2 linked regions of the Caenorhabditis elegans genome follow. Each later gene encodes a partner of the first gene's protein in a complex. Each region holds a gene or a part of one and is shown in the gene's direction. Other genes may lie near its edges.

Region 1 (7,974 bases):
CGCCGAAAACTCGTAATCGGTGTTTGCGTACTTTCGAAGCTACAGTACTACTCTGTAAATTTTACTAAATGCTTAAATTGCCTATGAAATTGCGGAAAATTCAGTTTTAAGCATGACATTGCGTTAAAATATTGATTTTTCTGCATTTTGTCGTAAGATCTGGTGTGTTGAAGTGTTTGCGTACTTTTGAGGCTACAGTATCCCGCGAAAGTTGAATTTAGCGTAGGAAAGTCGGAAAAAAGTGTTTCAGGGGTAGAACTTGACGACGAATCTGATTTTGATACTAATTTTAAGTTAAAAAATTTAAAAAAAATTGATGTTTTTCCAAAAAAAAAAATTTTCAAAAAAATTTTTTTTTCAATTTTTTTTTTCCGGAAAAGTAAATACCTTTCTTATTATAAAACTATTATTGACATTGTCATTAACAAGGTCACAATAATTATTTGTTCTTCACCAATTTTCGGCGGCGGCGCAAATAACAGAAAAAAGTAGGTCAAATTCATTTCGTCACCTTATATTCCGTTGGTTTCAATAAAACAGAAGAACACGAAGGGTTTCGTACTGATAAGATGTGATAGTACATAATAACATTAATAAGAAATAAATGTACTTTTGGGGGGGAATTTTAAAAAAAAATTGAAAAAAAAAAATTTTTTTTTTGAAAAAATTTTTTTGAGTTTTTTTTTTTTTAAAGTACCATAACTTTTCTCATTTTTAAGATTTTTTTTATAATTTTTAAAGCAGATTGTAGATAAATATTTTATTCAAATAAAAAGTTACAATCGTACTAAAAAAATGTTGAAAATTTCAAAAAATAAAATTTTTTTTGGAATAAAAAATTTTTAGAAAAAATCCTATAACTTTGCTCATTTTTAAGCTATAAAAATGTTTTTTTAAACAAAACAAAGAAAAATCTTCGCATTTTTATTGCATTAATTAAGACTTAAACAAAAATAGGTCGGAATTTCAAATTTTTGGGAAAAAATTCAACTTACCAAATCGTGACGCCGAAAATGGGTGAGAAGCTTCAAAAAGTTGGCATTCATATTGATGGACATGTTTATAGACGAAGAAATTGGCTGGAAATCTGAAAATTTGAAAAAAAAACATTTCGAACAAAAATTTTCTGAAAAAAAAATTTCGAAAAAAAAAATTTTTTTCGAAAATTTTAAATTTTTCCTAAAATCTCCAATATACTAATTAGCACCTAACAAAGCCAATTTCACACTTTAAAACTCCCCAAAAAGCTCCTTTATACGACTTTTTCCAGCCAATTTGTACCACTTTTCTATTTGCTCAGTGACTACAGCGTCAAAAAGGTCAAAAAGGTGCGAATTTCTTATCAAATGATGATTTCTGCTCAGTTTTGCAAACAAAATTGCCGGATTTTCATCCAAGAAATGGGTGACTGTGTCATATTGGATAGTTTTCACTAGCACCCCCGCCAGACTCCGCCTAGTTTCGGGAAAAAGTGAAAGTTCAAGTGGTCAGAGGGATTGGAGACGGGTGAAATGTAGTTGACATAAACCTAAAGCAAATTGGAAGCATTTTGACACAAAAATCATAAACTCATGAGAAACTCTGAAAAATGAGCCAAATTATTATTAATTATTGTGGCTTTGCAGAAAAATTTCGATTTGTCTCGGTTTTAATGGAATTTTTTGAATTTTAACACAGAAGAAGGATTTTGACTACGTTTTGTTGAATTTTTCACAAAAAAAAACTTCAAAACCCCCTCTAAACTAGCCATAATCCACCAGCTTTAAAAAATCGATTTAAACTACCGCGTAAAGACATACAACGACACTCCGGAATCCCGCAGGCGCGTGTTCTTTACCGTAAATCCACACTCCGAATTTATTCTTATTTATTCGAATTTTCATCGATTTCACTCAATTTCCACTGTTTTTCTCGATTTTTTCATTTTTTTAATGATTTTAGTTGAAAAATGGCTTTAAATTTCTGGAAAAGCAGTCATTGGTAAGTAAATCCCATTGAAAAACCCAAAAAAATCCCATTTTTTCCAGCCAACAATGGATTTTCGATAAAACCGAGATTTGGAAGCAACGCGCCGAGGATATGAAGATTTATAACGAGGAAGAGTACAATCGATTGAATATTTTCTGGGCGAATTGTAATTTTTCCTTACTTTTTCCTCGAAAAAATCGATAATTTTTGGTTTTTTTTCAGTTATAACCGCCGTCGCCACAGAAGGAGCCCACTCACAGGCAAATGTTGGATGTAAACTCCGTCAACAGGTTATTGCAACTGCGATTATCTATTTTAAGCGATTTTATCTAAGGTTTATTCGGAAAAAAATGATAAAAAACCTGGAAAAACGTCGAATTTTTCAGGCAATCGTTCCGTGACATGTGCCCATTCCTCGTAGCCTCTACAGCATTATTTTTAGCGTGTAAAGTTGAAGAACACACTACGTTGAGCGTCTCAAGCTTTCTGAAAAATACAGCTATCGTTTGTGCGTTTTTACGACGGAAAAATTGCAAAAAATTGGCAGAAAAACGCGGAAATCCGGCTGAAAATTGGAAAATTTAGTGAAAAATAGGCTTTTGAACCGAAAAAACACCCGGAAAAAACATCAATTTTTCACTTAAAAACCGCTGAAATCCAAATTTTTCAGCTAGAAACTCTAAAAATCACCTCAATAACCAAAAAAAAAAAACAGTTTTTGAGTCAAGTTTTGTCTCAAAAAAATTTGAAATTCCACTCTTGCAGCTCATTTTCCGCTTATTAATCCAAAAAATCGCCTGAAAATCGATTTTTAAGCTGAAAAACTCGAAAAACTCGAAAAATTTGCCTCTTTTTCACTCAAAAATTCGATGCTTTCCTAAAAACGCCAAAAATAAAAAAATTACGGCCAATTTTCAGAAAAATTTAATTAAAAAAACTAAAAACGCCCAACTTACCAGAAAAAAACCCGTTTTAGTCCAAAAAATCGCCTAAAAATCAAATTTTCCACTTAAAAATTCGATTTTTCTGTTAAAAACGGTTAAAAGTTCAGGAAATACCCATAAAGACCCGTTTTAGTCCTAATATTCGTCTAAAAATCGTTTTTTGTGTGGAAAAATCGGATTTTGTCAATTTTTAACCTGAAAAATTCGATTTTTCGCTAAAAACGCCGAAAATTTCAAAAATTCGATAAAAAACTCGTTTTCACTTCAAAAAAATTGCCTGAAAATCTATTTTCGACAGAAAAAACCAAAATTTATCAATTTTCCACTCAAAAATTCATCTTTTTTTTGCTAAAAAAACCAAAAACTTAAGAAAATTTAATTAAAAACCCGGTTTACTTCAAAAAATCGCCTTAAATCAATTTTACCCTCAAAAATTCAATTTTTCTGTTAAAAACGCCAGAAATTGTAAAAAATTCGACCAAAAATGCGTTTTAGTCCAAAAATCCACCTGAAAATCAAATTTTCCACTAAAAAATTCAATTTTTCTGCGGAAAACGCCGAAATGTTCAGAAAATATTCATAAAATACCCCTTTTTAGTCCTAAAATCCGTCTAAAATGTAATTTTTCTGCTAAAAACGCTAAAAATCACAGAAAATTAGAATAAAAACCTCTTCTTAGGCCAAAAAATGGCCTAAAAATCAAATTTTCTAATCAAAAATTCAATTTTTCTTTTAAAAAACCAGTTTTTCAGCAGAAACAACAGAATTTTGTCAATTTTCCACTCAAAAATTCAATGTTTATGCTAAAAAATACCCAAAATTTCGAAAAATTCTATTAAAAACGCGTTTTACTTCAAAAAATCGCCAAAAAATCAAATCTCCCACTCAAAAATTCAATTTTTCTACTAAAAACGTCAAAAATTCGATAAAAAACCCGTTTTAGTCCAAAAATTCGTCTAAAACTCAATTTTTTCTACTAAAAATGCAAAAAATTTCAAAAAATTCGAAAAAAACCCGCCTGAAAACCAATTTTCCCCTCAAAAATTCGATTTTTCTGCTAGAAATTCTAAAAATTTCGAAAAATTCTATTAAAAACGCGTTTTACTTCAAAAAATCGCCAAAAAATCAAATTTCCCACTAAAAAATTAATTTTTCTACTAAAAACGTCAAAAATTCGATAAAAAACCCGTTGTAGTCCAAAAATTCGTCTAAAAATCAATTTTTCTCTCAAAAATTCAATTTTTTCTACTAAAAATGCAAAAAATTTCAAAAAATTCGGGAAAAAACCCCGTTGTACTCCAAAAAATCCGCCTGAAAACCAATTTTCCGCTAAAAAATTCAATTTTTCTACTAAAAATGCAAAAAATTTCAAAAAATTCGGGAAAAAACCCCGTTGTACTCCAAAAAATCCGCCTGAAAACCAATTTTCCGCTAAAAAATTCAATTTTTCTACTAAAAAACCCATAAATTGTCCGAAAAAACGCGTTTTACTTCAAAAAATCGCCAAAAAATCAAATCTCCCACTCAAAAATTCAATTTTTCTACTAAAAACGTCAAAAATTCGATAAAAAACCCGTTTTAGTCCAAAAAATCGCCTAAAAATCAAATTTTCCCCTCAAAAATTCAAATTTCGCGCCCCTAAATCCCTTCATTTTTCAGTGCCAAAACGATGGGGAGTGACATTTGAGACGACATCGACAAAAAATGGAGTTGTCTACGATTCCGAGTTTATTCTCGTTGAAATTCTTGATTGTTGCCTTGTTGTACATCATGCATCACGTCCAATGTTTGAATTATTAGAAGATTTGAAACAATTTACTCAACAATCAACTATTGCTAATCAACCTATTAAAGGTGCCCCCCCCCCCCCCCCCGGGAAATTTTTGATAAAAACTGTGAAAAATTGGAGAAATTGCGATTTTTCCAGGAAAAATTGGGAAAAAAATCGATAAAAATTGGAAAAATTTGAATTTTTTGAGAAAAAAAAAGGAAATATCTGAAATTTTTTAGGGAACAGTGGAATTTTTTTGATTTTTTTTTTGAATTTTTTGGTGAAAAAAATGGAAAATTGTGGAATTTTTAGTGAAAAATTGGAAAATTTTGAATTTTTCAGTAAAAAAGTGGAAAATTTGGAAAATTTTGAATTTTTAATGAAAAAATGGAAAATTTTGGAATTTTTAGTGAAAAATTGGAAAAATTAAATTTTTTAGCGAAAAATTCGATTTTTAAGTGAAAAATCTAATTTTTTTAGTTAAAAATTGGAAAATTTTGAATTTTTAGAGAAAAAAAAAGGAAATATCTGAAATTTTTTAGGGAACAGTGGAATTTTTTTGATTTTTTTTTTGAATTTTTTGGTGAAAAATTGAAAAAAAATTGGAATTTTTGGGTGAAAAATTTGGAAAAATTTGAATAATTAGGGGAAAATTGGAAAAAATTGGAATTTTTTAGTGAAAAATTGAAAAAATTAGAAATTTTGAATTTTTTTAATGAAAAAATGGAAAATTTTGGAATTTTTAGTGAAAAATTGGAAACATCGAATTTTTTTTGAATTTCTTAGTGAAAAATTGGATTTTTTAAGTGAAAAATCTAATTTTTTAGTTAAAAATTGGAAATTTTTGAATTTTTTGAGAAAAAAAAGGAAATATCTGAAATTTTTTAGGGAACAGTGGAATTTTTTTGATTTTTTTTTTGAATTTTTTGATGAAAAATTGAAAAAAATTGGGATTTTTTCGTGAAAAATTGGAAAATTTTGAATTTTTCAGTAAAAAAGTGGAAAATTTGCAATTCAATTTTTGAAGAAAATTTGATTTTCCCCTACAAAAAATATGCCAAAAATTAGGAAACCTCAATTTTTTCGAAGAATTTTTCGGAATTTTTTTCTTAAAAATTTAAAATGTTTTTAAAACAAAACTGAATTTTCACAAAAAAAATCCTAATTTTTCACGAAAAAATTCCAATTTTTTTTTCAATTTTTCACCAAAAAATTCAAAAAAAAAATCAAAAAAATTCCACTGTTCCCTAAAAAATTTCAGATATTTCCTTTTTTTTCTCTAAAAATTCAAAATTTTCCAATTTTTAACTAAAAAATTAGATTTTTCACTTAAAAAATCCAATTTTTCACTAAGAAATTCAAAAAAAAATCCATTTGTCCAATTTTTCACTAAAAATTCCAAAATTTTCCATTTTTTCATTAAAAAAATTCAAAATTTCTAATTTTTTCAATTTTTCACTAAAAAATTCAAATTTTCAAAAAAAAATTCCAATTTTTCACTAAAAAATCGAATTTTTCCAATTTTTCACTAAATATTTAAATTTTTCCAAATTTTCCACTTTTTTACTGAAAAATTCAAAAATTTCCAATTTTTTTCAATTTTTCACCAAAAAATTCAAAAAAAAAAAATCAAAAAAATTCCACTGTTCCCTAAAAAATTTCAGAAATTTCCTTTTTTTTTTCTCAAAAAATTCAAATTTTTCCAATTTTTTCAATTTTTCCCAAAATCATTCAAAATTTTCCAATTTTTAACTTAAAAATTAGATTTTTCACTTAAAAAATCCAATTTTTCACTAAAAAATTCAAAAAAAATTCGATTTTTCCAATTTTTCACTAAAAATTCAAAATTTTCCAATCTTTCACTAAAAAATTCGATTTTTCCAATTTTTCACTAAAAATTCCAAAATTTTCCATTTTTTCATTAAAAAATTCAAAATTTCTAATTTTTTCAATTTTTCACTAAAAAATCCAATTTTTCACCAAAAAATTCAAAAAAAATTCGATTTTTCCAATTTTTCACTAAAAAATCCAAAATTTTCCATTTTTTCATTAAAAAATTCAAAATTTCTAATTTTTTCAATTTTTCACTAAAAAATCCAATTTTTCACCAAAAAATTCAAAAAAATTCGATTTTTCCAATTTTTCACTAAATAATCCAAAATTTTCCAATCTTTCACTAAAAAATTCGATTTTTCCAATTTTTCACTAAAAATTCCAAAATTTTCCATTTTTTCATTAAAAAATTCAAAATTTCTAATTTTTTCAATTTTTCACTAAAAAATCCAATTTTTCACCAAAAAATTCAAAAAAAATTCGATTTTTCCAATTTTTCACTAAAAAATCCAATTTTTCACCAAAAAATTCAAAAAAATTCGATTTTTCCAATTTTTCACTAAATAATCCAAAATTTTCCATTTTTTCATTAAAAAATTCAAAATTTCTAATTTTTTCAATTTTTCACTAAAAAATCCAATTTTTCACCAAAAAACCTCCATTTTTTTGCAGATCTGGAAGCAATTGAAGCTCAATGTCAAAAAGTGGCAAATGATTCGCTAAGATGTGATGTTTCATTGATTTTTCCACCACATGTCATTGGATTATCAAGTATTATGGTTGCAATGGAATTAATGGGCCGTGGAGAAGAATTGGAAGCTTGGCTTGTCGAAGTTGACACTGATTTTGAAAAGGTCTCGGATTTCTACCGGAAAATTGAGATTTCCCGTGAAATTCTACCCAATACTCGAGAAATTTGCCAATTTTTAGAGAATTTGCAAGAAAATCCAGCAAATTCCGCGAAAATAGACAATTTTTTAAGCATTTTTAGCCGAAAAAAAGTTGGTGGCCTAACTTTTTTACTTTCTAGGCCACCAATAGGAATTTTCGAACATTTTTCTTTAAATGTGGAAAACCCCGAGTTTTTTAACCCATTTTGCCAATTTTCAGCCGAAAAATGATGGTGGCCTAACTTTTTGCAATTTCTAGGCCACCAATCGGAATTAAGGGAATTTTTGTGATTTTAGAAAGTCAAGAACGGAAACTTTGACATTTTTGGCATTTTCTTGAAAATTGAACTCAAAAATTGCAAAAACCTGAATTTTTGTGCAATTTGAGCTGGAAAATCCCCGAAAATCGATGCTTCTGTGATTTTCAGTGAAAAAAAACTGAAAAATCGAATTTTTCGGACCTTTTTACCCATGTGGCCGAGTTTTTTGGCTGATGGCCGAACTTTTGTAATTTCTAGGCCACCGATTGGGAATAAGGTCATTTTTTGAACTTTAACGTTTTTTTTTG
Region 2 (4,932 bases), on another chromosome or scaffold:
AAACATTTCTTGTGGTTTTTTGATCTGTACAAAATAAATCTTAGCCAAATTTGGTCAATTTCCAGCCACAAACACTATAATTTCACAATAACACAATAATTCTTGGCGTTTCAGATCAACGAGAACCGATAACTAACCTTTCTCCAGCTGCACAAATGCTCTTTTTCGAATCTTCTCGAGCCAGTCATTTGTTCTCTGCATAATTGAATTTCCACCTCTTTCATGATATTTTTGTTCATTGTATTGTTGACTACTTTTTCAACTTTATTTCTTTATCGTCTTAAATTTTTAAAGAACCAGTGTTCCATTTTTTCATTTCCTCATATTTTTCTTCTACTTCTCAATTGTCTTCAAGCAATTCCTGATCATTTTTATTTTGTTTCGTGTTTTTGATTATAAATTATTTATATACAAACACACAATTTTCAAACAATTGTGATGCGTGATAACATCGCTGAATTGTATTTTTGAAATTATAAAAGAAACGCGGAATACAAGACCTAATTACTAGAATTTACTGAATTTAAATAAACACTTTTTAGTGATTTATTTCGTTTTGAAAATTTTCCGCGATCCTGATTTGAAGAATTATAACAATTTCAATCAATTCTAATTTTTATTTTCAATATTTTGTTCAAAGTTCAAAACGATATTGTGGAGTTGTAAAAAAAATTAAAATATATATTCAAATATGCATTACATTGAAACATCAATCGGGGGATTTGCCCTATGACATTCTGAAATGAAGAAACTTAGAGTTTTTTTCTTCCGTTTTCATATAATTTTATCTGACATATGACATTTTCTCTCATCATTTGTCCTTTCTCATAAATTTAAATTTGCGAGAATGTGATTCTAACTGCAGACAATACCCAGATGTTGGAATTTTTTGCGCGTAAGGTCGTTTTTAGCTTAGTTTCAAAAAAACTTCGCTGGTTTTTTGTATAATATCAGTAAACTGCCTGAACATCCGAAACCATATTCTGAAACAACGCGCATTAAAGTTATTAAAATTGCACATATTCAAATAACAAATATTATCAGTTCATGCTGATCTGTAGGTGATATGCATACTACTTGATTTCCTTTTTTTTTTTTGGGTTCACCATCTTGGAATATTAGCTCATTCACAACTCCCAAAAAAGTCTACTTTCTTATCGTTCTGAAAGTTGAAGTTTTAACGTATTTACCATTTCTTACAACAATACAATTTTCCCTGCAATTAAACAAACGACTTATGAGTGGACCATTTTGAGAAAATAGCGAGACAGTTCCGATCGATGGGTCTGTGTGCCTTGCTGTGCAGCACTCTCCATCTCTGCGTCTCTCTCTTCCATCAGTGTATTTCTTGCTGTGTTCTGTGTTCTCAGGGGCCAATTCTCTATTTCTTTCCAACTGCCTGCTACTCGCCGTTTGTGCGTTTCTTCCTCGCTTCTCTGCGTCTTTTTTACAGCCATCTTTGAATGTCATCATCCGTACTGGGGTTGATGTGTTTCTTTACAATCGATGAAAGGTGCTTTATGAATACATCTCTGTCCACATGTTGAGTTTAATTTTTCACTTTTTTTAAAAGCTCACATTGTGTTTTTTTAACTAATTGGGAACCCACAAAATTTTGAATATTGGATTTTGAACACAATTTTAGAGTTGGAAAAGTGAACTAGACATGAATGATGATATTCCAAAAAAAAAACTTTTTAATACTTATTTTTTTCACAATATTTTCTAAATAAATAGAACCCACTTTCCTTTAAATTCTTATTCGTTCCTCCTTTCATTTTTCTGTCAGTTTTTATGTTGTTATCACTTAAAAACGTCGCCTGATTGTATTTTTTCTTTTTCTTAACATATTATCTTCAAAATTTGGGAAGTTATTGCAAATAAAAAAATTTTAGCAATCATTTCGTACCCATCGACGTCAGTGGTAGACGACGAGGACGACGTCTACCCCGAGGATGGCGTCGCCTCGTGGTTTGACGAGCAGCCCGGCGAACGTATGCTCCGGAAAACCAACCTTCGAATGGGAACTGCTGATGTGTATAAACAAAACAAGAATCAAGAAGAGGATATGTTGACAACGGAACGATTAAAGAAAGGATATCAGGTGAGTGTCGTGCCAGGGCGAGGAAAAAGATGCTCAAACAGAGTGCAATGTAACTATGGAGGTACTAGGGGATGATTAGCTTGGTGTGTGGCTAGATGTTTGATGAGCGTAAAAAGAAACAGAGAAAGCACACGTGAGGATATGAATTATACAACCCGAGTTTTGATTTTAGATGCCATTAACGCAATACGAGCTTCAATCATTGGTTTTCAACGCATCGGAAAATAAGCTAATTCGTCTGGAGAAAGCTCAAAAACGATCTCAGTCTATGATTGCTTCTGTGAGTCATTTTCAACAATTATATAAGTGAGTAAATATGTTAATTTCAGGTTATTCACAAAAAAGGAGAGTTCCACATGAATTATGACAGAGAACGTAAAATTCCAAAGGAACAACTTCCGTGTTTTGCACCACATAACTGGAAACGAATTTTGTCAGATCGAGTGAAATTCTTTTCGGCATTAGCTAGAGGAACTCCTCTTCAACAACTTTCACAAAGAATCCCTGGATTTAGAAGGAAAGAACTGCTCTTTTTGGAGTTTAGCGATTATAAGTGAGTTGTTTTTAAAATTCACAATTAAAACAAATGTGAATTATACTGTGCTAACTGAAGAATGTTCTAAAGTTGCCTATTTCAGCATAAGCTACGATCGGGCAATATGGTGTGTGAAACTTCTTTGTATCCTTGGTTTCAACTCTTCAAGCAAGACACAAAAGAAAACATTACTTGACGTTGCAACTCTAGAACTGAGCCAAGCATGCAACAAAACAACAATTTGGCTCGTAACCCAGCTTTACAAATCTTTTCGAAATCCCATAAAACGAAGAGAGGCTACTAAAACATGGAATTATTTGACTGGATTCATGAAGTATATGTTTGATGTAAGAGTTTTATTTTTAACAGAAATTTTATTAGTTTTGTTATAGGATGGTGTCCTTGATAAACAGGAGTTTCTCAACGATCTCACGGAAGTTTTCAATCAGTTGTTTTTGCAGAAAAACTTTAAGAACCCTTCAGTTTTAAGGTAAGCACTGCAAACTTTTCCAAATTAGATAACCCATGAACTGATATTGTATTAATAACATTTCAGCACATTCATGAAATATTATGTGTATTTTGTCGAAGATCTCAGCTCCAGTCTGGTGTTAGCTAGACGGTCCTCCACTCTGCTTTGCCAAGCACTTGGTTTTCTATTCGAAATGGCACAGGATAAAAGGAAAATTGATGCGTACTACGATTCTGCTAATAAAACTTTCATTAAGAAAGAGTAAGACTTAAATTTATGAGAGTTACAAAAAATCAAAAATTCAGATTTGAAAATGAAGATGGCGAAATTTACGAGTTTGAAGATTACGATGACTTCATTGATATGTTGGACGAGATTCCTGATGTACCCTACTTTGATGAGACTGACAAAACACCAGAAGCACAAGCTGAAGAACTTATCAAGCAGCATGAAAAACGAAAGGCAGGCTCACTCAAAAAGTCTGAAAGGAGGAGAAGAAGAGGATTGTCAAAAAATCGGCCAAAAAAAATGCCACAGAATCCTTCGAATGAAGCTTCTCTTGATCACGATAAAGTACAGATTAAACAAGAACCGATGGACTATGATGAGTATGGAGGTCAACAATCAGACAATTCTATGGATTATGACTCTTTCTCACATCAATATGATCCATCATATGAGCCTTTACCTTTCAAGCCACTTCACACAGATATTCCAAAAAAACTCACTGACGATGAGGAGTTCAAGTACATGAAGATAGGCAAGAGATCTGTCACTCCTGAACGTATTAGTGGTCGCTATGGTTCAATGACGTATCCTTTCTGGATTCAGCAGGGCGGAGTTGGAATTGATCCACCAAAAGATGAAGTACTGGATTTCTCCAATCCAACACCAACGGAAACTGTCAACACGCAGCCACAAATTGATTTTGAATCATCTCCCAGCGCTTCGCCAGCTCTTTCTGTCGATAAAGAAAATGAATGTGAAAAGAAAGAAGATGAATCTAAAACTAAGGAGAAGAACAAAGATAAGGAGAAAGACAAGGAAAAAGAAAAATCTGTTGATGAGCATACGAATGATCTGGATGTTCCGATAAATCCTGACGATGCTGAAATGGCTGATGCAAATGATAAAACCGATGCTTCTGAAAAACAAAAATTAGTTGAAGAAGAACCTACCGGCAAAGAAAATGAAGATGATACCAGTTCAAAAACGGCAAAGACGTCTACATCAGCAGAGAAATCCGAAGCTCCCTCCATTGTCGATTCTAATGACAAAATTGATAAGGAGCCAAATGCAAGTTCAACAAGTAACGATGAAACTTCTAAAGATGACACAGTTCCCATGGAATCAGATCCACCAGCTGCCACTGAAAAACCAAAAGAATCCACTGAAATTACCACCGAGGAACCACTGGAAGTCGACAAAGCGCCTGAAGTTGATAAGTCTGAGAAAGAACACGAAGATGATATTATGATCATTGAGTCCAACAAAAAAGCAGACGAGGATGACTGTGTTGTTATAGCTGTGGTGGATCCTGATCAGGAACAAACTCCGGAAAGTGAGAAGAAAAAAGATGGCGAAGAAGAAAGGGACAAAAACAAGGATACAGATGTGGCGGATAACGAACCCGAGAAAATTTATACCGACGAGGAACTCGCTGAAATCAAAATCCGCAAAGAGAAGGAAATGAAAATTGCAACTTTGGCTTCCCATATCAAAGAGAAAATGGTGTCAGACAAAAAATGGAAAGAGAAAACTAGCCACGCAGGATGGAGAACACTTGATCAATGCAGTCAGTTCAGTGAAGCGCTTCATTTG

Evidence for each region.
Region 2: cic-1 (region 1) and dpy-22 share a complex: the UniProt entries of both Caenorhabditis elegans proteins name them as parts of the mediator complex.

What each region holds. Positions count from the first base shown.
Region 1 is NC_003281.10:2,395,183-2,403,156, reverse strand, and holds the start of cic-1 (Cyclin-C), read left to right. Parts: upstream 1-1,935; 5' UTR 1,936-1,948; coding exon 1,949-1,980; intron 1,981-2,027; coding exon 2,028-2,134; intron 2,135-2,190; coding exon 2,191-2,302; intron 2,303-2,354; coding exon 2,355-2,476; intron 2,477-4,571; coding exon 4,572-4,766; intron 4,767-7,188; coding exon 7,189-7,370; intron 7,371-7,500; exon of another isoform or gene 7,501-7,550; intron 7,551-7,974. Other genes in the region: Sterol 4-C-methyltransferase strm-1, read right to left, coding at 996-1,058. UniProt on the Caenorhabditis elegans protein: Component of the Mediator complex, a coactivator involved in regulated gene transcription of nearly all RNA polymerase II-dependent genes.
Region 2 is NC_003284.9:9,819,235-9,824,166, reverse strand, and holds the start of dpy-22 (Mediator of RNA polymerase II transcription subunit 12), read left to right. Parts: upstream 1-1,893; 5' UTR 1,894-1,996; coding exon 1,997-2,104; intron 2,105-2,276; coding exon 2,277-2,384; intron 2,385-2,433; coding exon 2,434-2,657; intron 2,658-2,742; coding exon 2,743-2,986; intron 2,987-3,031; coding exon 3,032-3,129; intron 3,130-3,195; coding exon 3,196-3,372; intron 3,373-3,416; coding exon 3,417-4,932. Other genes in the region: GTPase-activating protein rrc-1, read left to right, coding at 115-203. UniProt on the Caenorhabditis elegans protein: Component of the Mediator complex, a coactivator involved in regulated gene transcription of nearly all RNA polymerase II-dependent genes.